4 linked regions of the Stegostoma tigrinum genome follow. The protein of the gene in region 4 interacts with the protein of the main gene of each other region in a pairwise test. Links are inferred from orthologs where the notes say so. Each region holds a gene or a part of one and is shown on either strand. Other genes may lie near its edges. The genes, in order: zmynd11, serine/threonine-protein kinase PAK 5, phf1 and pdlim7.

What was found.
Region 1: the proteins of pdlim7 (region 4) and zmynd11 interact in a two-hybrid assay, tested with the Homo sapiens proteins (2 studies listed by BioGRID). The link is inferred for Stegostoma tigrinum from reciprocal best matches to the Homo sapiens genes PDLIM7 and ZMYND11.
Region 2: the proteins of pdlim7 (region 4) and serine/threonine-protein kinase PAK 5 interact in a two-hybrid assay, tested with the Homo sapiens proteins (2 studies listed by BioGRID and IntAct). The two-hybrid records come from large-scale screens. The link is inferred for Stegostoma tigrinum from reciprocal best matches to the Homo sapiens genes PDLIM7 and PAK5.
Region 3: the proteins of pdlim7 (region 4) and phf1 interact in binary tests that used the Homo sapiens proteins (3 or more experiments, as listed by UniProt). The two-hybrid records come from large-scale screens. The link is inferred for Stegostoma tigrinum from reciprocal best matches to the Homo sapiens genes PDLIM7 and PHF1.

Annotation. Positions count from the first base shown.
Region 1 is NC_081355.1:137,701,980-137,709,346, forward strand, and holds the start of zmynd11 (zinc finger MYND domain-containing protein 11), read right to left. Parts: upstream 3,005-7,367; 5' UTR 2,889-3,004; intron 1-2,888. UniProt on the Homo sapiens protein: Chromatin reader that specifically recognizes and binds histone H3.3 trimethylated at 'Lys-36' (H3.3K36me3) and regulates RNA polymerase II elongation. Does not bind other histone H3 subtypes (H3.1 or H3.2).
Region 2 is NC_081362.1:7,933,083-7,941,003, forward strand, and holds the start of serine/threonine-protein kinase PAK 5, read left to right. Parts: upstream 1-4,909; 5' UTR 4,910-5,044; intron 5,045-7,921.
Region 3 is NC_081387.1:17,109,886-17,117,513, forward strand, and holds the start of phf1 (PHD finger protein 1), read left to right. Parts: upstream 1-4,623; 5' UTR 4,624-4,820; intron 4,821-5,704; exon of another isoform or gene 5,705-5,988; intron 5,989-7,628. UniProt on the Homo sapiens protein: Polycomb group (PcG) that specifically binds histone H3 trimethylated at 'Lys-36' (H3K36me3) and recruits the PRC2 complex. Involved in DNA damage response and is recruited at double-strand breaks (DSBs).
Region 4 is NC_081366.1:43,155,061-43,162,744, reverse strand, and holds the start of pdlim7 (PDZ and LIM domain protein 7), read right to left. Parts: upstream 3,019-7,684; 5' UTR 2,915-3,018; intron 2,909-2,914; exon of another isoform or gene 2,754-2,908; 5' UTR 2,730-2,753; coding exon 2,634-2,729; intron 1-2,633. UniProt on the Homo sapiens protein: May function as a scaffold on which the coordinated assembly of proteins can occur. May play a role as an adapter that, via its PDZ domain, localizes LIM-binding proteins to actin filaments of both skeletal muscle and nonmuscle tissues.

The sequences.
Region 1 (7,367 bases), on a different chromosome or scaffold from region 4:
GGAATAGGTTATGATTTCTTAATGCTCTCCAGCACTGGGGTTTTCCTTGTTGGGGCCAGTCAAAGACTACTTGAAAGGAAGACTGATTACTCTGCGGTCAGTCAGTAATTGTTCTATCCTGCAAATAGGAAGATGACAGTAACTGAACTAGATAAGACTTGATCTTTACCCATCCTGCAATTCCTAAGCACGTAAAATAGATGGCTAAAATAAGGAATTATCTTCTGAATTTTTAAAATATGTGCACTTATCAATATTGATGGCAAAGTCAAGGAAGCAAACTCAATCATAACTAGAAATGGAGAAATCTATACTGTAAGACTATGATTCTGAACGCGGTTACGAAGTGTTGAATTCAGGTGAACATACATTCAATGCAAGATGATGGATTTGTGGCACCACCTGTTTTACGCTCTATGCTCTCAGCAGGGTCACCTCTCATGAAAGGCTTATCTATGTGCATTTGCATGGATGAATCTGCTCAATTCTCTCACAAGAATGGCTGACAACAATACTTCATGTGAGATGGGTAAAGCAGGGGCACTTGGTATGCAGCTCTTGCTTGCATATAAAATAACTTGGTGTCAATACAATGCCACTACTTGAGACAGATGGAGATTACACTATTAATTTCAATATGAATGGATTATACTTTACTCAAGTCAGGCAATGGGCGAGTGCAAAACTCATCCATAATAACAACTTCTTTTGTTTAACTAACACCCTTAACACAGGAAAACAACCCAAGTGCTTCACAGGAGTGCAGTCAGACAAAAATTGACACCACGCCAAAGGAGGTGATAACAGGTCAGGTGACTAAACTTAAAAAACACAGGAAGCAGCCCTCTCGCACCACAGCAGTAGTGCCCCTACCCCTGAAGCAAGAAACCTGGGTTCAAGTCTAAACTGCTCCAGAGGTGTGTAACAACAGCAGCAGGTTGATTAGAAAGATAGGTTAAAGGGAACCTTGATGAAAGAAGGGTGGTTTGGGGAAGAACTTTCAGAGCTGAAGACCAAGCCGTTAAGCCACACTAGCAGTGGGATATGTATCAGAATCCTGAACTGGAGGAATCCGAGCTTCTGAAGGATTGCAATCAAGTCGGGGTGGTTTTACTTCCCGAAGGGATTTCACAAGAGAATGAGAATTTTAAAATTGAGGAGTTACTGAACTAGGAGCTAATATAGGTCAACAAACAGAGAACTTACTTGATTAAATGGAACGTATTGCAGGCTAGAATATAGAGTGTGAGAGCTTAATCTTTTAGAAAACAAAAGAGGGTAGGCTAAGCCAAGAACAGAAGGTAACTAAAGCACAGGCAAGGGTAACAACAGCCGTGGCAGGATCAGAAAGAGAATGGGGCAGTTTTGGATCGACATGACATGGAGTTACAAATTCAACTTTGATTCAAATCAGATGGTCGCCGAGGTTCTATATTTCGGCCCGAGAAAACACCCAGGGAAGAGGAGGAAATCAGTGACAAGGAAAGAGTTTGTAGTTGGATAAAAACTGGTATTGATCATTTTAAGGTTAGGTTAGAAAAACGTGCAACTCAGCCCAGACTTAAAATATTTTCAAGGGATGTAAGCATCATTGGCAAGACCACTACATGCTGCTCATCTCCAGACTAACAGTCTGCCAGTACTAGAAATGGGGGAGTCATGGGAGAAAGGGGTGGGTGCTGCCTACGTACATTTGAAACCTGATAGACGATGCTGCAAAGCAGCACCATGCAGATGAGAAACAGGAGGGGGTAAAGATAGATAAAAGAATTATGGGACAACCAACTGCTATATACAAGTATGATTTAAAAGCCAATGCAAGTCAGGATCAGATACCAGCAACAAGTAAAACAGTAGCTTAGACTTCCAAACTACAGGCAAGATACATTCCTTTTAATTTATGAGGCCATAATGCACAGCAGAAACCAAAGGCTATATTTTAATTCTGGAATACTATGCACGCTTGACAGACTATTTAATACCACTGCATGTGTCACACATGTAAAGCATTACAGATTTTCAAACACATATGTACGTATCAACTGCCTGCTGTAAAATTCCCAGTCGTTTACAAAACCTAAAGTGTACTTGCCTTTATCAAAAGTGCAACGTCGGCCATTGATTTTTCTCAAAAAAAAGAAACAAGACCACAGAGAAAATGACTGACCCCCTGGCTTTCACAATTGCCACCCCAGTCATTCCAAGTCATTAGGAAAAACTGAAGTGAGAAAAGGTGTTACAAGTTAACAGTCAATTTGAAATACAACGTTTGCCACACAGACTGTGCAAATGAATACAGACACCAGGGCTAAACTGTTGATTTAAAGGTGGGCCAGCTCTACGAAACTATGATGGTTAACGTTCAAGGAGCAACCATCCATCAGAGCCCAGAGAGAGTGTTCGTAAACCCTATTAATGGTCATAGTTCCCTGGGGTCTGGTTTTCTTCTGACTTTTCCCACCCATCGCCACCTTTAAAAAGGTGAAGGAGGGGGTGGGGGGGGATGTGGAGAGACAATCTTCCCTAACAATAAAAAAAACACTGGTCTCCCGACAAGTCGGGCTTCGAACAGAAAAGTGTGTCCGGCAGCGGCAAGAGGAGGAGAACATTAAACCCCGGCCACAGGGTCTGAAGTGAAATAAATAAAACAAAGACAGAGACACACTGGGGAAGGCCGGCTCGGCCTAGCTACCGCCTGCAGCCTCTCCCCGGCTTTGGGAGTAAACCCACCCCCCGCCAAACTCCTCACTCCTCGAAAGGCGAGGCCACCCTCCCCTACAGCCGGGCGCAGACGGGCCGCCATGTTCCCGGTTTCCCACCCGCCAACACATACAGCGAGCTCCCCGGCTCCGAGTCCCCCCTCCATCCTGGACCCCGGTTCTGCTCACCTCTGCCACTTCCCGGTCGGTTATCTCCGGACGATCCGCCCGGCAGCTGAGCCGCTGTGGAGTTCCTTTCCTCCCGCGGCCCCTGTGCCCGGTGCTGGCGGGGCCTGTCAGTATCGGGCTCCGCTCGCTTCCCCCTCGGACTCGGCTCCACATCAACAACAGGGGCCCCTCCGTCCGCGCACGCCCCTCAGCGGCAGAGCTCGGAATAGCAGCAGGCAAACCTCCGCCCAACACCCTCATCCCTCACTGTGCTTCTCCTGTCCATGTCTAACCTCACTCTCCTCCTCCACTTCCAGCACCAACCCCTCACTCTCCTCCTCTACTGTCAACACTCATCCCTCACTCTCCTCCTCCAGCACCTGCCACTCACTCCTCCTCCACTTTCACCATTATCCCTCACTCTCCTCCTCCACTTTAACCCTCATCCCTCACTCTCCTCCTCCATTGTCACCCCTCATCCTTCACTCTCCTCATCCAGCACCTGCCATTCACTCACCTCCTCCACTTTCACCCTCATCCCTCACTCTCCTCCTCCACCTCTAGCACCAACCCCACACTCTTCTTCTCCACTGTCACCCTCACTCTCCTCCTCCACCTCCAGCACCATCCCCTCACTCTCCTCCTTCACTGCCGCCCTCATCCCTCACTCTCCTCCTTCACTGCCACCCTCATCCTTCACTCTCCTCCTCCACTGTCATGCTCATCCCTCACTCTCATCCTCCACCATGACCAGAAGCAGCCCCTGACTCTCTTCCTCCACACCACTCTCTCCTCCTCCATTACCACCCTCATCTCACACTCTCCTCTCCCTCTACAACACACACTCTCATCCTCCTCCTCTCCACATTACCCTCTCCCCTCACCCTCCACCATCACCCTTTCCTCCTCAAACCCCTCTACATCACCCTCTCTCCTCCACCACCACCACTACAATCTTCCCCTGCTCATCCCCCTCCTCAACCAATGTGCCCAGATCAAGGACAGATGTTTGACTGGGGAACCAGCGTGGGTGATCGCCGGCTTGTGAGACCAGTCAGGTCACAGGTGGAAGTTCCCTGCATTGATCTACTGCAGGCCTTTTATAGAAAAACTTCAGCTTATCTTTTTAGTGTTGGTCCTTATTTTTCTAACTTATACTATGATTTAATGTATGGTAATGTAACCTTCTTATGTCTCTCTCTATTTTGTACCTAAGATTTGCACCCAGATACTTAGTACCTAAGATGGCACCATGTGGGGCAACACTGTAAACATTTCACTGTGCTCCTGTACTTGATCACACTTGACAATGAACCTATTATAATTCTAATTCCCCCAACCACATCACCCTCTCTCCTCCTCCTCCACTACCATCTCCCTCTCTCCTCCCTCCACAATCACCCTCTCCACTCGTTGACCTCTTCCACCATCACTCTGTCTCTCCTTCTCCCCCTCTAGCATCACCACTCTCCATTCAACCTCCTCCACCATCACCCTGTCACTTCCTTGACCCCTCTACCATCAGGTTGTTTCCTCTTCACCAGCACCCTCTCTCTTCTTCCTCCGTCACCATCGCCCTCCCACTTCCTCTTCCTCCACCATCTCTGCTCCTACTATATGCTTTATTCTTTTTCTTACAACACTACCCTCTCTCCTCCTCCTCCACTGGCACAAGGACCCTCTCTCCTCCCTCACCATCATCACTGTCTCCACCATCATCACCCTCTCTGCTCCTCAACCTCCTCTACCACCGCTCACCTCCTCAAATATCTCCATCAATACCCTCTCTCTTTCTTCTTCATCTCCACCATCAACCACCCTTCACCCTCTCTAGTCTTCATCCTCCAGCATCACCTTCACGTCTCCTCCCTCATTCTCCACTACCCTGTACCCTTTTGATCCCTCTGCATTACTAAACATAATGATCCATCTCCATCACCAAATGCACTGATGCCTCTCCACCACCACACACATTGATCACGCTCGATTTCGAAATGTACTGATCACTGTCCACCACCAAATGCACTGATACCTCTCCAGCACCAGAAACAGTGATCCCGGTCCATCTTGATGACACTGAACATTCTCCATCAGTAAACATATTGTTCCCTCTCTATCACTGAACAGACTGATCCCTCTTTTTGCTCATTACACCACCTTCTTCTCCTCCTCCTCTTCACTGTCCTTCTCTCGCTCTTATTTTCACCTCCCTATCTCTAGAGAATTATGCTGCAATTATAACTTCAGTGACAGTGTCACTATTCCAGCAAAATACTATCTAAATATTTGCATATTGCTATTAATCCCATCAGGGCCTTTTTTATGGCAAGGTGTGGAGCTGGCTGAACACAGCAGGCCAAGCAGCACCTTCGAAGCAGGCTGCTTGGCCTGCTGTGTTCATTCAGCTCCACACCTTGTTATCTCAGATTCTCCAACATCTGCAGTTCCTATTATCTCTTTTTATGGCAGGTCTGCAGTAGAACCTAGATGATAGTTGTTGGAGCTATGATGAGTCAGAGCAGGTGTAGTTTCCAAGTCCAGATGTAAATATTTTGGAGTCATACAGCACAAAAACAGACCCTCGATCCAACTCATCAAGCAATGAAATTTCCTAAACTAAACTCGTCTCGCTTGCATTTGGTCCATATCCCTTGAAACCTTTTCTATTCATATACCTGTCCAAATGTCTTTTAAATGTTATAGCTGAAACTACAACTACTATTTCCTCTGGCAGATCATTCCTCATACTAGCCATACTCTGTGTGAAAAAGTTGTACCTCAAGTCCATCTCAAATCTCTCCTCTCCCCTTAAATAAATACGCCCTCTTGCTTTGAACTCTACTATCTGAAGGAAAAGACCTTTGGGATTCACCTCATCTATGCTCCTCATGATTTTATAAACCTTTATAGAGTCATCCCTCAACCTCCTGCACTCCACTGAAAGAAGTCCCAGCCTATCCAGTCTCTCTTTATAACTCAAACCCTCTAGTCCCAGCAACATCTTAGTAAGTCTTTTCCGAACCCTCACCAATTTAATAAAATCCTTCCTATAGCAGGGCAACCAGAACTATGCACAGTACGCCTAAAGTGGCCTCACCAATGTCCTGTACAACTGCAGCATGATGCCCTGACTCCTTTAACTAAATGGTCTGAGCAATGAAGGCAAGCATGCTAATTGCCTTCAACCTGTGACACAACTTTTGAAGAACTTCTTACCTGAACCCCGTAGGTCTCAATGTTTGACAACATTATCCAGGGCTCTACCATTTATTGTGTATGTCCTGCCTTTATTTGTTTTACCAAAATGCAACACCTTGCATTTAACCAAATTTAATGCCATCTGCCACTCCTTAGCCCTTTAGCCCCATTGATCAATGTACCTTTGTAATCTTGGATAACGTTCCCTGTCCATTATACCACCAATTTGGTTAAAACAGATATCTTGCATTGAGGATCCTGAAAACATCTCTCTGTTGGGTCTATTGAGGGCTTAGGCTTCTCATCTCTCTGGCTAGGCAGTCTTCCACACAACTTTGCAATGGGAGGATGTCCATGATAATAGATGATGAATTGTAGAGAATGAAACAGTCAGACAAGTACTGGGAATGTTTCATTATCTAAAAGTTTGCAATTGGAATTGATCATTGGCTTGGAAGGTGCTGTTTGAGGAGTTTTGGTGAATTTCTGCAATGCATCTTGTAGACCATATGCACTGCTTTTACTGAGAGTCACGGTGGAAGGAGTAGATGTTTATGGACGTGGTGCCAATCAAGCAGGTTGCTTTGTCGTGGATGGTATCAAGCTTCTTGAGTGGTGTTGGGGCGGCACTCATCCAGGCAAGTGGGAATAATACATTACACTCCTGAATCGTACCTCGTGGGCAGACAGGCTCCGCAGATTCCGAGATGACTATAGGGCCACTAATTGGACAGAATGGATTGGTCATTTTTTTGGGGAGTACAAACTTAGCCAAGTTTTTACTTTTTCAACTGTAGCTATACAGAAATGTCTTGGCTAGGTCTTGATTACAATTCTTCAGCATAGCAATTATGGGAACCACTGGAGCCCATCGGTTTGTTGGATCCAGTATCTCAATTTTCCACATTAGTAGGTTGAATCCAGTGTTGCAATTGCACTGGAACAGCTTTGGCTTGGGGTGCAATTTGTTCTGGAGCACAAGAATTTGCCGAAGTGTTGGAGTGAATCACACTGGCTGAAGATTGGCTTCCATGTTAAAAACTGAAAGAACTGCAGATGCTGTAAATCAGGAACAATAACTGAAGTTGCTGGAAAAGCTCAGCAGGTCTGGCAGCATCTGTGAAGAAAAAAATCAGAGTTAACGTTTCGGGTCCGGTGACCCTTCCTCGGAGGCAGGGTCACTGGACCCAAAATGTTAACTCTGATCTTTTCTTCACAGATACTGCCAGACTTGCTGAGCTTTTCCAGCAACTTCAGTTATTGTTGGCTTCCATGTTAGTTGGTTATATGTTCAAAACTAAT
Region 2 (7,921 bases), on a different chromosome or scaffold from region 4:
CTTCCACACTGTAGGGATTCTATGAAAGGTGAGGCAGTCTGAGGGAACATGACTGGATGGATGCTGAAAAGATGCTTCTGCATGTGGGAAAAACTGGAACTAAAAAGTATAAAGTTTGGAATTAAAAGGGTCTCCTCTGAGAAGACTAAAAATGAGGAATATTTTTCCCTCTCAGACAGTCATGAGTCTTTGGAGGCAAGGTTATTGAATATTTTTAAGATAAAGGTGGATAGAATTGGATTAACAAGGTAGTCAATAGTTATTGGGCTAGAAGGGCATGTGGACTGGAGATCAGCCATGATCTTGTTGAGCAGGTTACAAGGGTCAAATGCCCTGTCTTGCTACAAATAGGCATGAGTGAGTGTGAGACAGGTGGTCCAACAATAGCATCTCTTACTAAGCCAACTTGCCCAGCCTCAAGGTGATCATCACCTAAAGCCAGCTCCAGTAGATAGGAAATGCTGTTTGCATGGGTGACACAAGATTCTGTTTTGTTTAAAGCTCAGTCAAGACAGGAAGACACACAATTGGTCAAACAAATGTTCTCAAAGCATCCTTAAAGAAATCTAACACCTCTGACTCATATGAGTCTTTGATTTTTGACTGAATTTTAAATGCATTTGTTAGAATTCCTTAGCTTGGTCTCCAGGCATTGCACTACTGGAAAATGTTGACATCATCATCCAACATCAACCCCCTGTTTGGGTTCACCCGCATTCACAAGGGATCACTTAGTCATCTTTTGACATCAAATCACAAATGTCATCATTCGTGAGAGAATGCACAATTGGACATGATACTCATTTATCTCAAGACGGTTGGAATATAAAAGCAGCGATATGCTTCCGAGGCTTTATAAGGCTCTAGTTAGGCCCCATTTAGAATACTGTGTCCAATTTTGGGCCCCACATCTCAGGAAGGACATACTAGCCCTGGAGCGTGTCCAGCAGAGATTCACACGGATGATCCCTGGAATGGTACGTTTAACGTATGATGAACGGCTAAGGATCCTGGGATTGTACTCATTAGAGTTTAGAAGGTTGAGGGGAGATCTAATAGAAACTTTCAAGATAATGTATGGTTTAGAAGGGGTGGACGCTAGGAAGTTATTTCCGTTAGGCAGGGAGACTAGGACCCGTGGGCACAGCCTTAGAATTAGAGGGGGTAAATTTAAAACGGAAATGAGACGACATTTCTTCAGCCAGAGAGTGGTGGGCTTGGGGAATTCATTGCCACGGAGCGCAGTGGAAGCCAGGACGTTGGATGCCTTCAAGGCAGAGATCGACAAATTCTTGATCTCAGAAGGAATCAAGGGCTACAGGGAGAGTGCAGGGAAGTGGAGTTGAAAAGCCCGTCAGCCATGATTTAAATGGCGGAGTGGACTTAATGGGCCAAATGGCCTTACTTCCACTCCTATATCTTATGGTCTTATGATACGAAGCTCAAACAATGTTGGATTTGATAATTTAGCAGATTTAAGTGCTCAGAAGGCATTTACTTATATTAAAAATGATTAAGGAGCCTGTTTATGAGGAAAAGCTCTACAGTTCAAGCAATCACAGAAAGTGGAATTTTTCTCTTCCTGGTATGGCATGGCAATGGTGAGAAAGGTGGTAAAGTATAGCGAGAATGGAGAAATCAGAATCTTACCATTGTGGAAAATTTTTTCAAACTTTTCTCTTAAGTTTTAAATGTATCTCATTGTTGAGTGGTACGTATCTCATTTCCATGTATTTACATCAAATTAAAGACCCAACTTGACTTATTTATGCACAACTTTCAATTCTGCTCGATCCTGAGAAACTATATGGTGCAAATTCCTGACATACAAGTCAGAGAGAGTACCTGGGAAATGCAGCTCACTGATTGCTTGTTCTAGCTGTAGAGATTGTAACAAGGTCAGCCAAGTGAGCCTCATAGATTGGGACTGTTAACATGGTCCCATTAGGGACCCCTGGCTAATAGATAGAAACGGAAGTGTTGGAGGTTTGTTCACTCTAACAGCTGGCTCTGAGGGGACTGGATCAGTGTCAAGAACTTTCCATCTGAGAATAAAGGGTGACTTAGTTACGGGATATCAGCCTCTGGGGAGTTATTTCAGTGGTGACAAGAATGGGATTAATGATATAACCATGCAAAAGCGCCCACTAGCTGAAGCCTTCCTGGACTTCAGATACTACAACTGGCTTTATCATTGGAAAATGCAGAAAAATGGAGCATACAAGTTGCAAGGTATTCCAAAAGAAGTGGACCCCCTCACCAGTCTGACTGAGCTTGGGAAACACCACCTGAGTGAAGGAAATTGTATAGCCTCACTCACGACTGAACAGAGGCACTGTATGTCATCCCACAGCAAAACCCCAAAACAAAGCAAAGCCCCAGCCAAATGATTACAATTTTCTTCAGGAGTCAGGCCGGCAAACCATTGTAGTTGCTGCCAGCATGACACAAGAGTCCCACTAGATCCAACACTGAGTCCAAGGACGTAGACTAATTCTTTTATTTTGTAGCTTCTCCTGGGCCATTTTAGCACCAGGTTCCGCCAACTCTGGCACTGATACGTGCAAGTGTAACGTAACTTGCACATCTTGGAAGAAATTTACTCTCCTCTTCCGTTGGCAAAGGCATCAAGGTGGTAACATCCACCACGTCTACCTCAGATCGCCAGGTATCTTGAAAATGCTTGACCGAAGAGGAGAACCCAAGCATTCTGGAACTGTTGGAAAAGCAGTCAAGGAGCAGGGAACATGTTATTTTCATATGGTTCATGTGCTTCTTCAGGACCATCGTACCTACTCAAACTTTATATGTCACCACACCTGGCCTTTAGGCTATTGCTGTGATTCCTACACCAAACTTCATCCCTGAAGTAAACTGCCTCTCTTGCTTAGCGGAGTCCGGTGTCTGGCCTTGGTGTTCCTGATGCCATTTCACAAGCCATCCTCCAACTGTGTCTTCATCACAATTGCTCTGAATGCTCCATGGACACTATCATCCTCGGTCCTTCATCTGTGCAAGCTGACAAGAACAAACCACCAATTTCATCACATCAGCTAGCTGTTCCTGGTCCAACTCCCACACTATTCACCCTTTCAATGCTTTTCTTTGGAGGTCTTTTGACTGAATGCTTCTGCCAGGCTGCTAAGTGCACAGCAACACATACATGTCTCATGCATCTGCATGTGATGCACCTTGTGGTTCTTAGCTTGATTTATATTTGTTGTCTCATTTTCTACTTGATTTTCCTTGACTTCTTTGGGCAATCCCACTTTCAAGTATCAAAATATTATGTGTCCTACTGTCTATTAGGTAAAAAGACAGCAGAGAGATAGTGCACGATCATGGCACAGTACTAAGGTTAGATAGTCCTTAGGGCTTCAGTCAACACGGCATATTGAAATGCTTTGCTGTCATGATCGTGAACAGGTTGAGAGACTCCTGAAGCATCTCATTTTGATCCTCCCATCATTAGTAACCTTTCAAATAAAGACAAATTACTGCGGATGTTGGAAATCAGAAACAAATGCAGAGAATATTCAAAAAACTCAAAGTCTGACACCATCTGTGGACAGAGAAATAGAGTTAATGTTTTGAGACTTGCAGAACTTTTTGACAGAATTGAGAAGCTGACTTAATATTTCCGTTAATGTTGATATCATTGCCTTCGGACAGACAGTTGCTTATATTCCACGAGTTGCTATCTCTGAAGCTTTTAGGTTACTACACCAGTGTCAATATGATTGTTATATAATAGTGGAAGTCTTGAGAGAGTTAACGCTGAGGAATGTCTTAAACAAAGACCAATATAATGACGTCTTGCTAAACTAGGGAGGTGGAACAACTCAGTTTCTTGAAGGAGGCAGAATTACCAGCTTCATAATAACCGAAAGAAATGTGGGTGCTGTAAATCAGGAACAAACGTTGCTGGAAAAGCTCAACAGGCTGGCAGCATCTGTGAAGAAAAAAAATCAGAGTTAATATTTCGGGTCCGGTGACTCTTCCTCGCAACTAAGACCCACCAGCTTGGTCTTCTCCATTGTGTTTGAAACAACGTTGATTGCAACGGTCTAACTTGCAACGCATGGAAAATGCACGCTAAACTTCGCCGAATTTGGGAAGTGTCTGAATGATTAAGAGCTGGTTATGGGCCACGTGAGGAAATTAGTTACGAGAAACGTTTTGCAGGTTAACAAGAACTGAAAGAGACGGTTTTTACGCCCGTATGGGTGATTGGAGCTATAAAATCCCTAGGTTTTGTGTTCCTCTGAGATGTTGCTACAAGGCGGCATGGGCATGGCCCATTGTTATGAATGAGCCACGGGCTCACCGGAGCTCCCAGGAAACATTCCATTTTCTCAGGCAATTCCGACCCCGCCCATTTCACTGGCGCCCTAGCCACGCCCCCTACCACTATGGCCCGCCCATTGCATCCAGGCACCGCCCACCGCTCGTCTTGTACCAATCCAAGACCCCCATCCTTGACCCGCCAACAACCCCCCTCAAGGAGAACGTACGCACGTGCACAACTTTCCCGCTCCCCGGGCCCAGAAGCCGCCTGTTTCCCCGCCCACAGCGCGCAGCCCGCCCCCTTGTGCCCCTCCTGTCACCGCCCACCGGTGCAACGTGTCCACCAGTCCGTCACCTGGATGGACCCCAACCTCCGCCGCCCTGCCCCGACCCTTCGCGTGTTCTCCCCGCCCCTCATTGTAGCCCCGCCCTCTACGCGTCTCATGCCCTCGTGCGGCTGGCCCCGCCTTCACCGCCAGCGTCCCGCCCTCCCCCGCCTTTGGCCCGTCCCCTCTCCTGGGTGAGACCGCCCATCGACCGGATTGCCCCACCCTCCCATCTGGTTCCCGCCCACCGCGTGCCTGGCCCCGCCCTTCCCGCTCCCCGGATGTGGCCGCCGCTCTGCCGGCAGTGGATGGGTAACATGGCGTCGTCGGTGGAGTAACAGGAGAGGGAAAGCCGGCTATCGTCACCTTAGACAGACAGATGGACACATCGTTATTTTTCTGCAGCTGTAATTGATGAAGGCTCGGACAAGGTAAGATTGATTCGCGCATTAGGGATGAGGTAAATGTCAGTGACATTGTGTCGATGATGCTTCGATCTGACGGCTAGCGATGAGAAAACGGTTGAAGCGCGCCCTGACAGCAGCTTTTTGTTTCGTTCTGAGAGAGGGCAGCGATATTAACTTTACTCCTCAGCCTCACAGACAAAGAACGCGGTGCTGAAATTAGCCTCGACGGGTATCCTTTCGGATCTGCCTCTCTGGTAGGAAACAGGTGCAACGTTGTGGAGAACCGACCATCTCTTACAAACCAGTGCCGGATTGTGTCTCTTCCCGCAGGAAATGTCAGTTTTATTTTCCCCTTACAATTTAAATGACACTTGGGATCATTCTCCCCCCGCCCCCCCAGTTCCATCACAAACAAAAGGCGCTCTCTTCGTCTCCTTCCCCTTTTCATGTCAGCGTTGTCACACGTTTGCTGCTTGGTTCGTTCTTCCACTTGAATGAATGACCATTTGAATCGAGGTTCCCCTTTCTTTGGCATTCCCTTTATCCAGTACCCTCCAGCTTTGTACATCATATTCTGTAGTACAATACTTTCACGGGTTTGAAGTGGAAAAGTTTTTTTTATCTGTCAACATTGCAAGGAAGAGCGACGTGCATAACCGTATATGAAAGTTTTCATAACAGATTAGGAAACACGTATCTCAGAAATTTGGAGGAGTATCTTCGAAGAACCTTATGGTGGTTGACTCGTCAGACAAGATGTCATTTCTTTCGAATGATCATATGGTTTCTGGAAAAGATTTGTGTTGGTTTTATTTTCTATATATGCTTCTTGCTATTGTACTGAGTACAAAGTAAAATTACGCAATTTGATATTTCCATCTGTAGTTGGTAACATTTGTATTTTAACGGAACTTTCTAATTTGGTAGTTTTTAAAATACTCATATTGCTGACTTAGCTATATTTGCTTCTTGAATGGTGGGATAAATTGCACACACTTACAAAGTAAACACATTCGGCTATTGTTCGTACTTTGAGTTTTGTCAATTGCTAATTGGTCTTTTCTGTTGAGACGTCGTTACCATCAGACTCCAGGTAATGTTCTTCAAGTCATTATGGTTTCAGATGGGATACCCCAAATCTTGTATGGAGCTTGTATGAAGAAAGACAAACTGGTTTCTTTGTAGATATCTATCTTCTACAATAAATTAACTTGAGTTTTAGACCCAGTTTAAAGAGACTTTCTTGAATATCAAAAGAGTGAGTTCATTAATGACTAGGAGAAGAAATAATAATGCAATGCGGCACACAGAGATTAGCAATAAGAAGTGAGCCCAAACAAAATGGTTTCAAAGAACAGTTAGTCTTTGAGTACTTCACGAAGCATCGGAAGTAGAACATTGCAGCCATTACAGTGGTGGTTAACGATAGCGTCTACATTGGTAATTGGATCATTTGATTTTAATGATTTTAGCTTTGCAAATTGATTTAAAATTTTCCTAGTTCTTGTTGAAAACAATACTTGTTGGCTGGCAGCACTCGGAGTGGGACAGAATATTTTCTTTCTTTACCTGTAGTGCTGGAATATTTAATGTCTTTTCTCAAAACGGTTGAAGTTCACTATTAAACCATATCCATGTGTATCCTTTAAAAGAGGAAAAATCAAATATGCCTCTGAAATAACTACATAGAGACTGCTATCCCATCACCAAGTCATTCTATATTTCGATGTGCACAGTTCATGGGCTCTGACCAGTCAGCTCACAGCCAGCCCCTTGAATAAGGAGACTCTTTGAATCTTCTGTTTATATCTGTCAGCCACCAGGACTGGCCCAGGGTTAAAAACCCTAATCAAGGATCTCGTAGTCAAGTAGACTAACCTGGCTCTCTTCCAGATTGGTCTTCCAGTTTTTGTTTTAACCGTCGTATTCGCAATCTGAGATGCTCATAGGGAGGGAATGGGAGTTCAGGTTTTTAAATTCATTCTTGGGGATGTGGGCATCACTGATGGAACTAGTTGTGCTCCTGAGATGCTGCTGGGCCTGCTGTGTTCATCCAGCCTCACATTTTATTATCTTGGATTCTCCAGCATCTGCAGTTCCCATTATCTCTAGTGATTATTGGTAGTCTCTGGCTGTCCTTGAGAAGGTGGTGGTTTGTCATCTTAAACCCCAACAATTCTGCTAAGGTGGGAATTCCAGGAATTTTGCCCAGAAACAGTTAAGGAACAGCAATAAAGATTGAAGTCAGGATGGGGTGTAGCTTGGAGAGGAATTTGCCGGTGGTGGTGTTCCATGCATTTTTATCCTGTCTTTCTAGATGGTAGTGGTAATCTAGAACCTAAAGAGCCTTGGTGAACTTCTGCAATGCATCTTTTATATGGCACACATTGCTGCTACTGAGTGTCGGTGGTTAAGGCTGTGAATGTTTGTGGATGTGGTGCTGGTCTAGCAAGCTACTTAGTCCTCGGTAGTGCCAGGCTTCCTGTGTTGTTGGAGTGCACTCATCGAGGCAAAAATTGCATCATATTCTTGACTTGTTCCTTGTAATTGGTGAACAAGCTCTGGGAGTCTGGAGGCGAATAAATTGCTATAATGTTCCGAGTCTTTGACCTGCTCTTGTCACTACACTTACATGACTAGTGCAATTCTGGTTCTGGCCAATGGTAACCACCAGGATGTTGATAGTGGAGGTTTTTGTGGTGATAATGTCATTGAATCGCAAGGCACATTGATTAGGCTCTCTCTTATTAGAGATGCTTGTTGCTTGGCAATTTTGTTATGAAAATGTTACTTGCCACTTGTCAGCCAAAACCTAGATACAGTTCTTGCTGCATTTGGACGTTGACTGCTTCAGTAGCTGAGGGAGTTGCATATTATGCTGAACATTGAGTACTCACCATC
Region 3 (7,628 bases), on a different chromosome or scaffold from region 4:
AGGGAAGAGTGGACCAGAGTGGCCTGGAGAGAATGGTCCCTGTGGAAGGTTGACAAGGGAGGGAAGGGGAATATGTGTCTGGTGGTGGCATCCCGCTGGAGGTGGTGGAAATGGTGTCTGATGATCTTCTGAATGTGGATGCTGGTGGGTGATAGGTAATAGGTGAGTACAAGGGGGTCCCTACTGCAGTTGTGAGAGGGAAGAGAGGAGGTGAGGGCTGTAGTATGGGAGATAGATTGGACCCAGCTGAGGGCCCTGCCAACAACAGTGCTGAGGAATCCTCAGTTGAGGTAGAAGGTGGACATTTCAGAAGCTCCCTTGTCAAAATTGCCATCATCAGAACAGATGCATCGGAGGTGAAGAAACGGGGCGAGTGGAATAGGTTCTTTAGGTCTGAGGATGTATAGTCTAGGTAACTGTGGGTGTCGCTGGGTTTATGGTGGATATGGTGGCCAGCCTAAGCCCAGAAATGGAAACAATGATGTGTAGGAAGGGAAGGGAGGAGTCAGAGATGGACCAGGTGAAAGTGAGAGCAGGGTGGAAATTGGAAGCAAAAGCAAAGCCTCGACCTATTTCGCTACATGACCCATTAGAGACTCAAGTCCAGAGAAATGTTCCTCCTAAATCTATTTAAGTTTCTACTTAATTGATTCTTTCCAGCTTTTTTTCCTCTCTGAGTCGATGTAATTGCCTAGTGGAATTATTGCTGGAATATTAATTCAGAGTCCAAGGTAATGTTCTGGAAACCTAGATTTGAATCTTACCATGGCAGATGGAAGAATTTTAATTCAATTTCTTTTTAAAAAAGTCCAGAATTAAAAGTCTAATGATGACCATAAACCCATTATCAATTGTCAGGAAAAAAAGACTGTCTGGTTCACTTATGCCGTTTAGGGAAGGAAATCTAACTTACATATTCATGTGGCCTGCGTGTGACTCGACATCCACCACAAAGTAACAGCGATGGGCAATAAATGCTGACCATGCCAGTGGCACCTCCTTCCCATGAATGAAGGAAACAAAACCATGCAATTTCCACAATCTCTTTCCGAGTATACTGGCATGAACATTTCACCATGCTGAGGGCTGAAATTTTCTCAGTCCTAGTGACTGAAAGATGGCTGCATAGGTTTTTCCACCTTGGAGGTTTCACAGGTGAGGACATACTTGCTGAGGTGCCTAGTTCTCTTGAATGCTAAGGGAAACTCAGAAGTATTCACATCCTCTCCAATAACAACACCATCAGTGTTCTGTTAGACACTTGACTGCATCATATATTTTGTCAGCGATGATGCGTTTAGGTCACTGTTCCAGAGTGACTTTCCAACCTTTTCTTTCAAGAAAAGTCTTCAAAGAACTGACCAAAATCCCTTCATCTCTATTTTAGTTACCAAATTCCAAAAATGATAACGTATACTGTAAACCTTTCATCACAATACCATCATACATAGGTGGTTTTCTGCACTTCTGTAGAAAATATTAATTCCAAACATGATTAATTTACTTTAAATCTTTATGAAATTCTATCATATAATTACCACTTATTCCCTGGACGCCTCATTACTGCAATACTATTAATGACACTTCCCATCATTGCGAAATACTTGACCCAAAATAATCTATTTCCTAGTGGACACCTCAGTATATCCTGCATACTTTCCATGACCCATCCTCCATGCTTATACAAGTTTAGCTTTTCCATTTAATGTGAGGCTTAAAGTCCCCAAAGCCAGCAATATTACATGGACGTCTAATTTCCCGATTTCCATGTGACAAATGCTGACAGAGGGATCACTGAGCAACTCCCACCAATATTTTCTGTCCCTTAGTGTAGCTTGTCTCCAAAAACTGGTGATTTTCTGACTGAACTGATGGCCAAGATTCCGACAGCACACTCTCAGACTTCAGAAATGGCTTTAACACACTTCTGAACAGTCTGAGGGATTTTTCTTTTTCCCAACAATTCAGTACAGGTTTGAGTTCCCTTTGATCCCTGAGGGAAGTTGTTCAAGGGGCATATGGTTCTCCTCCAGCTATTACCATATCTTGTTTTGACATCATTCCTTGGTTCCCTCATTCCTGCCAATTTGTGATTGCTCTACCTGTTCAAAACTTGGGTTCATTTCATTGCCAGACCCTGTTCCTTAGAAACGCTTTTTCCAGAAAGAGATTTTTAAAATGACATCATGGTAAGTGTGCTTTTTGGCTGCAGTGCTGATGCCTGTCAGAAGTGGAGAATGAGATAATTCTCCAGTGCTGGCATTGAGTACCACAATTAGACGCAGGGCAAATCTCACTGTCTCTCTATAACCAACCCACTCCACCAAAACAGTGCGACGTCTGCCTATTTCCCACGGTTTCCACACCCTGGCAGCTTTGGGGCAGCTTGTCCCTTGGCCCATCGCCCATTAGTAACTGGGTTGAGCGATTGCCCGAATTCATTTCATGCAGAACCTTCACAGTTGACAAAGGAGACTTTCATCCTGTCAGAACTTCACGTCGAAATGTTTGGCTTTTGTCTCAGTCAACAGCCTGTGACTTCAGGTTTCCAGACACATTTGACAATAGCATACTCCACAGAGGATCAACTCCCGATCCAAAGCCACCACAGTTCGCCTTCTCTCTCTTGCTCTCCTACCTGCTGTTTGATGGAGCAATCCCTGTATTGTTAGTAGTTCATAGAACACAATTACAAAAAAGGGAGAACTTTTTGTCTGGTCATGTATAAAGCTTCATTTTGCTTTGCAGGAGAATTTGATAAACCTCCCTGGAGCACTTCAGAGGCAGTTTCAAAGTCAAACACGGTGGGCCCTTGGGCAGGGGATGGTATTGACAGTGACGTAGGACTGGGATTATATACAGCCCAGACTGGGTAAACAATGTGAATGAACCAGAGATAGTAGGAACTGCAGATGCTGGAGAATCTGAGATAACAAGGTGTAGAGCCGGATGACACAGGAGGCCAAATGAACCAGTTGGATTATGATGACAACCCAACAACTTCGTCATCATTTTACTGATCACAGATCCTGCTCTGGCTTTTTTTAATGAAGTAAATAAAGTTGAATTCAACAATTTTCAAACTTGCCACCTATTCTTTGTGTCATTTGCAAACTTGGCTATAGTACTTTTGCTCATCCAAGCCATTTATACATATTATAAATAATTGTGGCCCCAACACTTTGATGCCTGTGGCACACCACTATTTAGAGTTTGCCATCCTGAAAATTCCCTACCTTATCCCAACTCTCTGTCCTCTCCTAGTGAGCCAATCCTCTATCAACGCTAATATATCTTCTCCACACCATGGACAGCTATTTAATGGCCCAATGTGTGGCAGCTTATCAATCATGTTCCGTAAATCCAAATGTATAATATCCACTGTTTCCCTTTTATCAATCATGCTTGTTGTTTCCTCAAAGAGTTGTAAAAAATATTGTTAGGCGTGATTTCCCCCCTTCATGAAGCAATGCTGACTCTGCTTGATCATATTATACATTTCTGAATGCTCTGTAATTACATCCTTTACAAGAGACTCTAACATTTTCCCAAGAACAGAGCTTAAGGTCACTGGCCTATAGTTATCTTTTCCGACTCCTTTCAAAATAGCGTTTGGGGCTGTTCTCTGCAAGAAGGCGAAAGGGGCATCAGAGAGAGGTTCTCATAATCTGGATAAGACCCAGAACTGTTTAAAGCATCAGGAACGAGAGGACACGGATTTAAAGCGTTTTGCAAAAGAAGAACTAGGGTTGGGGAGCTAAACTAAAACAAATGTGCTGGGCATCTGAAAAAAAAAACAGGAAATGGCTGAGAAACGCATCTGCAGAAAGAGAAAGTCGAGCTAACGTTTCGTGTTGTGACCCATCGTCAGAACGATTAAAGTGGCTGTTCGGGCCATCGTGTCTGTACTAGCTCTTTGATAGAAATGCCAAACAGCTTTCCCACCTTTTCCTCGTCACCTTATAAATTCCCCCCGCCCCTATGCCGTCCGTTCACATAAAGTGTTGCAAAGTACCCCGTGCCGTCTTTACTTTCTGCGTGTGGGAATCTTCCCGTGCACGGGTGGCCTTTCAAAGCGAAAGAAAATTCAGTAGACATGCCCCACAAAGCCCCATCTCGATGATTTCACGATCTTTATCAAACAGGTTTACAGTCTACTCCCAAAGCTGAAGTATTTATGAGGCTAGCGACCTAATTGGGGAGAAAATTTCTCAGAATTCAACGAAGTGCCCGAGAGACGGGGTGGGGTAGGGTTTGGACTGGGAAATGTTTCACCGAAGTCAAGTTCTTTCAACTCATTCCGCCTCGTCACTGATCCTTCCTTCCCTGGCGAACGAAATGCAAAATCCCACAAGTTGTGTACAGTCTGCAAATACAGAGTGGTTCTAAACGGTTTCTGGGGAGCATGTGTTTTTATTATTTTGTAAAATAAATCATCCCTAATTATTTATTGCACTCCTAGTGGGTGTTATATAATTCAATCATGCTGCTGTCAACAGCGCAGGGCGGAAGACAATGAACAGTATTAAATGTGTGGCGAACATAACGCGCACTTGTTTACACAATTTCTCTCTCTCTCTCTCTCACACACACACACACCGATTGAATTTCAAGCCGTGGACCGAAATTAGCTGTAGTCTGCGTCACAGGAAGATGGCGACTGGCAGAGCTGTTGGAGACGTGTTGTATGTGTTTTTATCTGAGTTGAAAACCTCACTGTGAATGAGCCAAGTGCAGACACACACACACACACACACGCACACTGCTCCAGGAGAGAAACTCCCGCAGTTCATTACTGGGTGTGGAGCCAGCCGCTGCAGGTGAGTGTTTACTGTAACAGATAGCGGGGTGGGATCCTATCGTCTTGGGGAGGTTTTTAAAAAAAGGAAAAATATGCCCCAGAGAAACGGCAGGATGAAGCCCTCCGTGCAATTTTTTTTGGAACTTCCTCCGCTGGGCCAGAGAGAGAGAAAACTGCAGCAACATGCCCTGTAATGTGTAAGCAACTGGGGGCGTCAGTTTCTCAACACTCTCCCTTATACATGAGCCTTCCCTTCCCAACTCCCCCCCGTACACCTTTACAAATAGCGAGATAAAAAATATAGTCGGTGTGCAAAAAAGATATGGGAGCAGGAGGGAGAGGTTGATTTTAGCAGACGTGAGGGGACACACAAATCGCTAGATCTGCGGAACAGTAAAATGTTGTATCATTTCCTCGTCTCCAGCGGAATGTCTGATTTCCTCGAGGATCGTCAGGTCACTGGCGGGGGCAGATTTGGGGCCGAAGGAATCAGACGGTTCAGTAGGCGGCCCTTCGGCCCGTCTGAGTCTGTACCGCCAAAAGTACGCTACGTTCCGCCCACATCATCCCCTCTTTCCCTACGTGTGTGTCATACGGGAGCAAGCTGTTCCTGATCAATATTCTCTCTCTCTGCATGTTGTATTTAGGGAGGAGTTGGGGCGGGAAGGGGGGTGCGCGGAAGGATGCTGAGGTTTTTCATACTGTACATTCTTTCCTCCCCGTGGAGTTTGCATCAGCTATCCGCTCACGGCCCTCATAAGGGAAAAGGGGTGATACTTCTGCAGAACAGCCACAAGGCACACGCCCACCTGCCTCTCGCTTTGATAGTGTGTTATGCATGCAGCTTTGGAAGGGGGAAGGTCCTGGGCTGGGGTGCCCGCCTCGTTGTTTTGATTTGCATTTCGAGACTCGAATAGAGACTCTTCCACACCCCCCCCCCCCAAACCCGGCCAACAAAAACACACACACACTTTCAGATATTACGGCCAGCCAGCGCTGTTCGTTGCAATTCAGGAAGGATGTACGGTGTACGCAGGCCTCAGAGAGGGGATGCAGCACAGAATCAACTGGTTTGATACTGGCTCCGCAAGGGTTAAACTCTGTGGACAGCTTGCAAACTGTGTGCGCGTTCCCTTCGACACAGGAAGTCAAGCAGCATCCCACTCGGAGCGTTGAAAACGACCAGGGTGAGTAGAGCCGGGAGTCCAGCACATAAGGGGGCAGTTTTTCATTGGATGGTGGAAATTCGACACCCCCTCCCACCCCCCCCCCCTCCCCACCGCCAAAAGACAGTGAGACAAGAGTTGAAAACTTGCAAGTCAGGGAGTATGATGGCCACTCGCCTGGGTAGGTGCAGCTCCAACAACACTCGAGAAGCTCGACAACAGTCTAGGAAAATGCAGCCCCCGCTTAATTGGCACCACATCCACAAGCATCCGCTCCCTCCACTCCCAAGGCAAAGTGGAGGAAATGTGTGCCACCAACCAGATGCATTGTCAAATCTCCTTTGCCGGCATGTTGCAAATTCAGTGACCTTTACCTCCTGGGAGGACAAGGGCAGTGGATACATGGGAACACCGCCACCTTCAAGTTCCCCTCCAAGCCACTGTCCATCCTGACTTAGAAATATGTCGCTGTTCCACCAAAATCCTGGAATTCCCTCCCTCACAGAATAGTGGATCTGCCGACAGCATGTGGACTGCAGTGGTTCAAGAAGGCAGCTCACTACTGCCTTGGGGGCAGTTTGGATGGGCAATAAATGTTACCCAGTGATTGACACCCATACCAAATGTGACCCTACAAAAGGCTAATTTTAAAGATTTTAACCTTGAAGTTGGTAGAATATGGTGTGGGAAGGTGCCTCCCATTCTTAGAAGAAATAAAGGCACAGGCAGTTTAGCATAGACAATTTGCAGTACAGGTATGCATTGAAGAGTTGTGCATGTCTCTACACAGTAGAAATAGAGGGCAGAAAGTGTACACAGTTCTTAATATATTATTGGCTGAAGCTATTGATATTCTGTAGATTCACCATTCTGACTTAGTTTAAATTTAATTTAACAATACCAATTAATATTTGTAAAACCTAACTCCCACCCATTTAGAGATACTGTACACTTTGCTTCTGAGCCAATCCCCTTATACATCTGCTTGTGATCAGTTAGCCATGTTAGGCTGAGCTGAAAAAGAAAACGTTAAGACATTTTAGCTGTTTGAGATAAATAATGACAGGCTGTGTGCGTTTGTGAACATTCATTAAATTCCTGTCAAAAAGGATTGTTTTTAAATTTCCAATTATTTACTTAATATAGACCTTTATTTATTTTGAGGTTTACTTAGTAAAGGCAGTATACATTATGCTTTTACATAGCTTCAAGTTTAGACAGAGTTTCTATTCTATTCTTTGGTATTTATGAAGCTTGGTGTTGTAACTAACATCTGTCAGAGCAATTAGAAATATTTGGTTCTTTCTTGCTGCAACTGTGCAAAACACTAGTGCGGCTGCATTTGCAACATACAAGATGATCAGAGGAGTAGATAGGGTGGACAGTGAGAGTCTTTTTCCGAGGATGATGATTTCACCTTGTACAGGGGCTGATAGATTTAAGACAGATGACAGAGGCTGGTTCTTTACTCAGAGAGTGGTAAGGGCGTGGAACGCCCTGCCTGCCAATGTAGTTAACTCAGCCACATTTAAACAGTCCTTGGATAAGCATATGAATGATGATGGAATAGTGTAGGGAAGGGGCTTAGATTAGTTCATAGGTCGGCGCAACATCAAAGGCCGAAGGCCTGTTCTGCACTGTATTGTTCTATGTCTATGACA
Region 4 (7,684 bases):
TTTTTATTTCCATTGCTGTCTTCATAGTAGCTTTTTGTTTAATTATACACATCTGAGGGATCCAAATGCATTAGGAAACATGGATCAACCAGCAAAAGAAAACTGCAGCCAAGGACAAACATTACTTCACAGTAAGAAATTCCAATAGCCAAAATTTTGTGCATCATGTTGCTTTTCTTTAAGATTCCAAACAGTGTGGAAACAGGCCCTTTGGCCCAACAAGTCCACACTGCCACTTGGAGCATCCCACCCAAACCCATCCACCCCTGACCACAATGGGCAATTTAGCACTATGGGCCAATCCACCTAGCCCACACATCTTTGGACTGTGGGAGGAAACTGGAGCACCTGAAGAAAACCCATGCAGACACGGGGAAAATGTGCAAACTCCACACAGACAGTTGCCTGAGGCTGGAATCAAACTTGGGTCCCTGGCGCTGTGAGGCTGCAGTGCTAACTACTGAGCCACCGTGCCACCCTTTTGTTCAACAGATTTCACACTCTTCCCCTCCACCTCACATTCTAAGCCCCAACTTTGCCTATCGTTTGCTAAGACTATGTAAAGTTCAAGTTGCCGCTCCATTCTACTGCATTAGCAACACTCTGGAAATATTCAAATGTATTCATCACTTTACTCGGCTTGTATATATAAATATAATTGTATATAGTTTTAAAGAAAGCCTATTTAATTGGGTGGAACATGATAGGGGATCTGAGGCGAGGCAATGTCGCAAGACAAGGAGGGTTGTGAGAGGAAATCAGCACGTTGAAGCATATGGAGAGATTTGTGCGGGGGGGGGTGGAGCTGAGGTGACCAGGGGATAACAACTGTTTAAATAATACCCTTAATGTAATATTATGTCGCAAGGAGCAAGCGCAAAACCAAGTATGAAAGGCTCATTGTTCAGTGGTCAAAACGTCCTTGTACAAGTACCATCTGCTCCAGACAAGCATCACAACAAGTTAATTAAAAACTTCTTAATGTATAACATCAAACCAAACAAGGGGATAGTAGTGGCCAAAAGTTAGTTCAAGGAAATAGGTGTTAAAAGCGTATTGCAAAGGTCCCTACCTGCTAAGAGGGGAACGAGAAAAAGTAGGGGTGGAATGAGCTGCAGGGCCGAGGATTGTGGCATGGGGGGTGTTTTCTGTACAAGTTGTAGACAGTCTGGAATTTGCTTTTAGCTTGCAGTATTTAAAACAATCTACAGAACACTGCTGTTCTAACAGTCAAATGTCTGGTTGTAGAATACAATTACAAAATGCTTTCTTGACTGGAAAATTTACAGACTTTAAATAAAACAAAATCCCAGAGCTTAAAACATTGTGATAAAATGAATGATGACAACAATCAATACACTGATGCCAAATATACCTTAAAGTAAACTAAGCTATGCAAAAGAAAGCACATAAAATAAGAGCAAGTACAAATATGGATGCAGCATTAACATGCAACCTCAATAAACCCTTTCAATAATGCAAGTTCTGAGACCTATATGGAGTTGTTATCCTTCTTCTCCATGCTGAAACTCTTGCCCATATCTGGTCATAAGAAAAGAATCTTCCTTGCTCTTGGAAGAGTGAGGATAGATCGCAAGAGAATTTTAGTCATAAAAGAACTGTTTTTAAAACACTGCAGTAAAATTATTCCAAAATAAATTTTAAATGGTAATAAATTAGGGCAAATAAATGCATTCTTGCAAAAGACTGCAGCAATGATCCTTTTCAAATCAGATTTATTCAAAAGAAAATCATCTAGCTTATCTGAAGGTAACAAAGAATTGAAACATTTACTCGAAGATAGCATGCCTCAGTTTGGAACTACAGTATTAAAGTTATCACTGGGTTCAGAATCAAATTATGTTGCGAGACAACATTATAAGCAATAATCAGAACGCGTTAAAATGCAGTTTTTAAAAAAACAAAATAGCTGTCGAAACGTTTGCATTCGAATGTAAGATATTTGGTATTGGACCTAAATAAAAGACTATGAGATGTGATAGTGACCTCATCTGGTCCGTTCGAAGAAGAGATTGCTGGCAGTCTACTCAGAGGGGTCAGATCAATTTACACTGCTCGTTCTCAGTGTAGTTGGAAGCTTCAGCCTTTTACTAATCCCTTCACATTCCTGATATGCAAGAATCACGCTGGAATGCTTTCAATACTGCGATTTTAAAGATACCATTTTGTATCACACGACCACCCTGTGTTGCATTAACACGTTACTCTGGGTTCCTTCGAAGTCAGGAATTGTTGGCTCTCAAACACAAAACGCCTGCGAGTTAATTTCACGGTTTCTGAACTAAAGGACACGAAGCCGCGTGCAGCCATCAGCTGAAAAGCCGCAGTACCCCTCTAACGCCCTAACTCCCTTCGCTTCGGAACATGAAGCAACTGCAGCACACACTTACATCAGAGGGTGCGTTTTAAACTTGGTGCCCGAATGATTACACCGGGAGTTCAAAAAGCATGAAGTGAGACTGCATGGCTAGTAGGGGGTTACTCAACTTGCTTAGTCTTAAAATGTCACAAACCCTGCTTTGACTTTGCCACTTCATGAAACAAACAGGTAACAAGTACAGAGAGAGAGAGAGAGAGAATAAAAGAGGATATATCTGGTCACCCTCGCTCACCCTAGACATGGTTAAAGGCTTGTTGAAGTCTTTTCCTCCCTGTAGTCTAAAACCCCACGGAGCCGGTCCTTCCAGGGTCACTTTGTACAACTCCATCGTCGGTGGAGAGGTTGCTGTTTGCTGGAAAAAAAACAACGGCTCTCTATTTTTGTTTGCTTGTCTAAAGACCGAATCAGAAAACTTTTTTTGGGGGGGGGCGGTGGAATTAGGAAACAACTGAGCGCAGTCCCAGAACTGAGGGAGAAAGAGGGAGGTAGATCCGCGGCGATACAGCCACTCACTTTATCCTACGGAGAATGACAGCTCCGAGCTTCCAGGCTATATAAGGCGTGTAAAACTACACCAACACTTTCAGCACTTTTTTATGACTCACGCCAGGGAATTCAAGCGCCACACAACACGTCACTCTGCCATTTCCCGTCCAATCTTAAGACTTTCAACCAGAGACTTTTTTTAAGAACACAGTGCAATACTTTAAATTGAAGTCACTTGATGTTGCCTGGAGATTACTGGAGTGAGTTGACTCCCGCAGTATTTACGGTAAAACTTAAAAAGTTTACATCTTAAAAGAGTCAAATACTGATGGAAATCAGTTGTGTGTTAGATGTCTTATTCCTTAATCAACAGTGTTCTCTGATCCCCACTTTTGATCAGAGGGGGAATAAAGTGGTGAGAAGTGTTCCCTTGGTTTAAAAAAAATGGCAAGGAGTTCGTGATACAACATGGCCCATTTATCAGGCCAGAATTACATCATAGGAAATGCCAGGAACAGGGCGCACCTCAAATTTGCCATGCGATGCCTCCAGGGAAACAGGCAGTAGCCTCTTTGTTTCTCTTGCTAAATGACCGCTGATTGCTCTCGTGTCAAAACACTGCAAGTTTCTAGTTAGCACCGAGCTTCATATACTCCTGCAAAATAAAGCAATTACTTGATTCTTCCGACCAAACAAAACGTCACGCCCAGCAGTCTGGCTCTAAACCTTGGAGTCAAAAACAGGACTCGGGTGTGTCTGATAACACAGACGGCGACACACGTTACAAGGAGTTCATGATTCAGATAAAGAAGCAGCATTAAATCTCATCCCAAGGAAATTAAGAGAAAATGTAGTTTACACAAAGCATAGCAAGTAGTAAAGTAATGAGCATTTCGAAAAAAAATCATTAAAATAAATGTTAGGAGAGCGGGCGGAATGGAATTAATAATTGTTCAAAAGCTACGCCGGTATTTTTTCGTTTTTGCGCCACTCTGAACCTAAAAGTTTACAGAAATAAAAAAACACGTTTCTGTCTGTTGTGGATGGTTACACAATTAGAAATCAGCATGCAATCAGATTAAACTCCCACACTAGCTATCTCAGCTAAAATTTACCCTGATTGTCCAATACAGTATTGAAGGAGTACTGCACAGTCTTGAAGATGAAATTTCAAACCAAGGTCTCAGGGCGAATTAAACAATCCAGGGCATTATTTTGAAGAACAAGGCAGTTCTCTTCAATGTTCTTGGCAAAATTTGCCCCTCAACTACAACACAGAAAATATCATCTGGTCCTTATCCTATTACTACTGTGAAGTTTACTGTGTATAATGTAACTGCTGTGTTTAGAATCTCAAAGCAAGGTCACTTGAATAATCTTTATATGGCACTAATTGGCCTCAGTTGTAGTTTATCGCATAAAGGTTATGAAGGCTTGGTGCAGAAGGAAAACCTTACAAATATAATTCTGAAGACAAAATACTTCAGCTATGTTGACAGATTACAAAATTTCATCACCCTAGATTATTGTCTTAAATAATTCCCCAGTCACATCATTAGAACAGCTGAAACTTGAACCCAGATCTCTTGCCTCAGTTTGGGGACAGTACCATTGCACCTTAAGAACCCATACAGTTGCTATTTTACACTCTTTTAAACCACCCCAGAACTTCCAACCAAAAACAGATCGTACTCAGTTTGCCAAAGACATTTTGCACTGCTGTACTATTGTGACTGGGATTGCATTGACTTTGAAGCTTTGGGACAAATTTCTGAACATCTCTGATACTAGGACCTTTTAGACCAATAGATACAGAATGCGACAGAAATTAAACATTGTACTATTTCTGGACTGTCCATTGTTTGCCTTCCTAGGAGGAGAGACTTGAAGTCCGGAGACACAGTGACAATCTACACATTCAATAAATAGAGCCGCTTCTTTCTTTTGAGCTACGTTCCCACCACCAAAATCATGGCAACATTTTTGTGCTTGTTTTTAACCTACTGACCACCCGCATTAAAACATCCTGTGTAGCTATTTGAATATTTATAAGCAAAGCCCATTGCACACAATGCTAACCATCAAAAGTGAGGTGTGAGAGAGGAGGGGAAGTGGGAAGGGACTAAATCAAATGGATTTGGAGGGGGTAATAAAGTACTGTATCCTCCTCTAAAGGCTTCAAGAACATTGATGGATGCAGCATGCTTCTTCTCCAATGATACTCAGGCAAGAAGTTAATTGAGGGAAGACATGCAGACGGCTGGCAGAGATCACCTCTTCACTGCCCGCTGCATGGACCTGTTTATCACCAGCCTAGCCAGGTCCAGGAGTAGACCCATGAGGACATCGTCCTATCTGTCCACACCAGTTACCCAAAGATCAGGAGTGTGGTGCTAAAGTGCAACCCAAAACACAACAAAAGAGTTTTTAAATAACTAAAATGGGTGTGCATTGCCCACAACCAATATATACTTGGCCCATGGGCTCCACAGTGCCACAAAATAAACAGTTTGGCTGGGAGTCTGTGAATGCCTACAATCTGCAGTTGTAAGGGACTGCTGCGTGCAACACTTTCCATCCCAGATCCCCAATGGAAAGTGGAAGGACTCCCATGTAGAGAGCCCTACACTGGGGATAATCACTTTTTATTAATGAAAGTCAGACAGAATTAAGAACGGTCTCCAGACTAACAAATAGCCCCTGACAATGATCTCATAAATGACTTTGTTCCTCCAACATCACCCATTTCTGCCACTCTCTCAGCAATGTTAATCAAAATTAGGAATTTATATTCTGTTTCTGGATTTGTGTGTGATGTTTTGTCACTGTTTATTCTTTTCGCCCCATGTTCACCCTTTTACACACCAAACACACCATCATCTTCCAACACACTTTCTCTGTGGTCCAGTTTGGGTCCATTAGTCCCATCCAATCATCTACACAAAGGAAGCCAGAGCATCCCGACTAATAACATTTATTCCTCAAAACAATCATTAACTTAGATCCATCATTGGCATCTCTTCATTATCCAGATGCTGTTCTGGGGATCAGTATGTATCCTGGCAATATCCATCATTTATACTGCTAGGTATTTCTTCAAAATTTATTCTCTGAACTTGGATGTTGTTGGCAACTCCAGTGCTTTCTGCCCATCCTGAATGTACTTGAGAAAGTGATAATGAACTGCCTCCTTGAACCTCTGTAATCATCACAGTCTGTAGTCACCTGCAAGCTAAACAGGGTAAAGATGGTAGATTCTTCTCCAAAGGGCATTAGTCACTCACATTTTTATGTAGATATATCACTCCAATACGTCATGATCATCATTACTATTATCAGATTTTCAACTGATTAATTAACTGCATTCAAATTTGAAACTCATGGCTTCACATTATTAGTTCAGTCGTCTAATTATCCCTACATTTGTATAATAGTATAATACTGCTTGCCTGACATCTGGTACAGGATATAATCATCGAATGATTACAGCATTGGAGACCATTCTGTCAGTTATATGCATGCCAGCTCTCTGCAAGAGCAATACAGCTGGACCCTTGGACCTGTCATTTTTTTTTGCCATAAGCCCTGCAAGTCTTTAATTTCCCGGTTCTTATTCAATTTCTTCTGAAATGCTGTCATTAATTCTGCCTTCATCATGCTCTTGTGTGGTGCATTCCAGATTTTAGTCACTTGCTGCATCAAAATGATTTTCCTCAAGTTGCATTTGATTCCTTTGCCAATCATCTTAAATCTGTCTCCTCAGTTTACTGACCCATCCAGCAATAAGAACACTTTCCCTCTCTCTACTCTGTCTAAACCCTACAAGCATTTTCAAAGCTAATATGAAATCTCAAACTTCTCTTAATGGAGAACAGCTCCAGCCTCTACAATACATCAACGTAGCTGAAGTGTTTTGTTCCTAGAATTATATTAGTAAGTTTTCTTTTCTGCACCTCCATAAAACCTCCATAAGCTTCATTTGATAATCTACAATTGAGGTCAATTAGTGCAAAATAAAGATTTACTAAAGTGACTTCGCTTTTGGATTCTAAACACAGCAGTCACATTTTGCACTATCAACTTGACAGTGGTAATGTGATAAGGACCAGATGACATTTTAAATGATATTAGTTAAGGGACAAATGTTGACAAGAACTCTGAAAAGAACTCCTTTGTTCTTAAAAATGGTGCCTTGGATTGTTTACTTGTCCCTGAGAGGAAGGTGAGACCTTAGTTTGACATTTCATCTTGAAAGCCATGCAGCACTCCCTCAATACTGTATTTACAGTCAGACTCGATTTTAACTGAAGTAGCTGGCGTGGGAGTTTAATTTAGAAACTTTTGCCTAAGGGGCAACGGTGGCATCAATATGTAGTGAACCCAGCTGTGCACAATCCCAATGTTCTACTTAATCACAGGGTACGGTTCTAATTGTTATCTTCCCCAATGAAACGATTATATATGTGCATCTCTATAACATTATCCGCTGCGTACTGCCCTAAACTTTCATGTTATTGAAACCGTCTTCCATATGCTTGTGTTCTGGAAACCTTGATTAATCCTAATATTTCTCATGATCAGTCTACCAGCTTCCACTTTACCTAACTGCAACTTACTTAAAGATAATGCGAACTGCAGATGCTGGAGAATGCAAGATAACAAAGTGTGAAGCTGGATGAACACAGCAGGCCAAGCCACATCTTAGGAGCATAAAAGCTGATGTTTCGGGCCTAGACCCTTCATCAGAGGGGTCTAGGCCCGAAACGTCAGCTTTTATGCTCCTAAGATGCTGCTTGG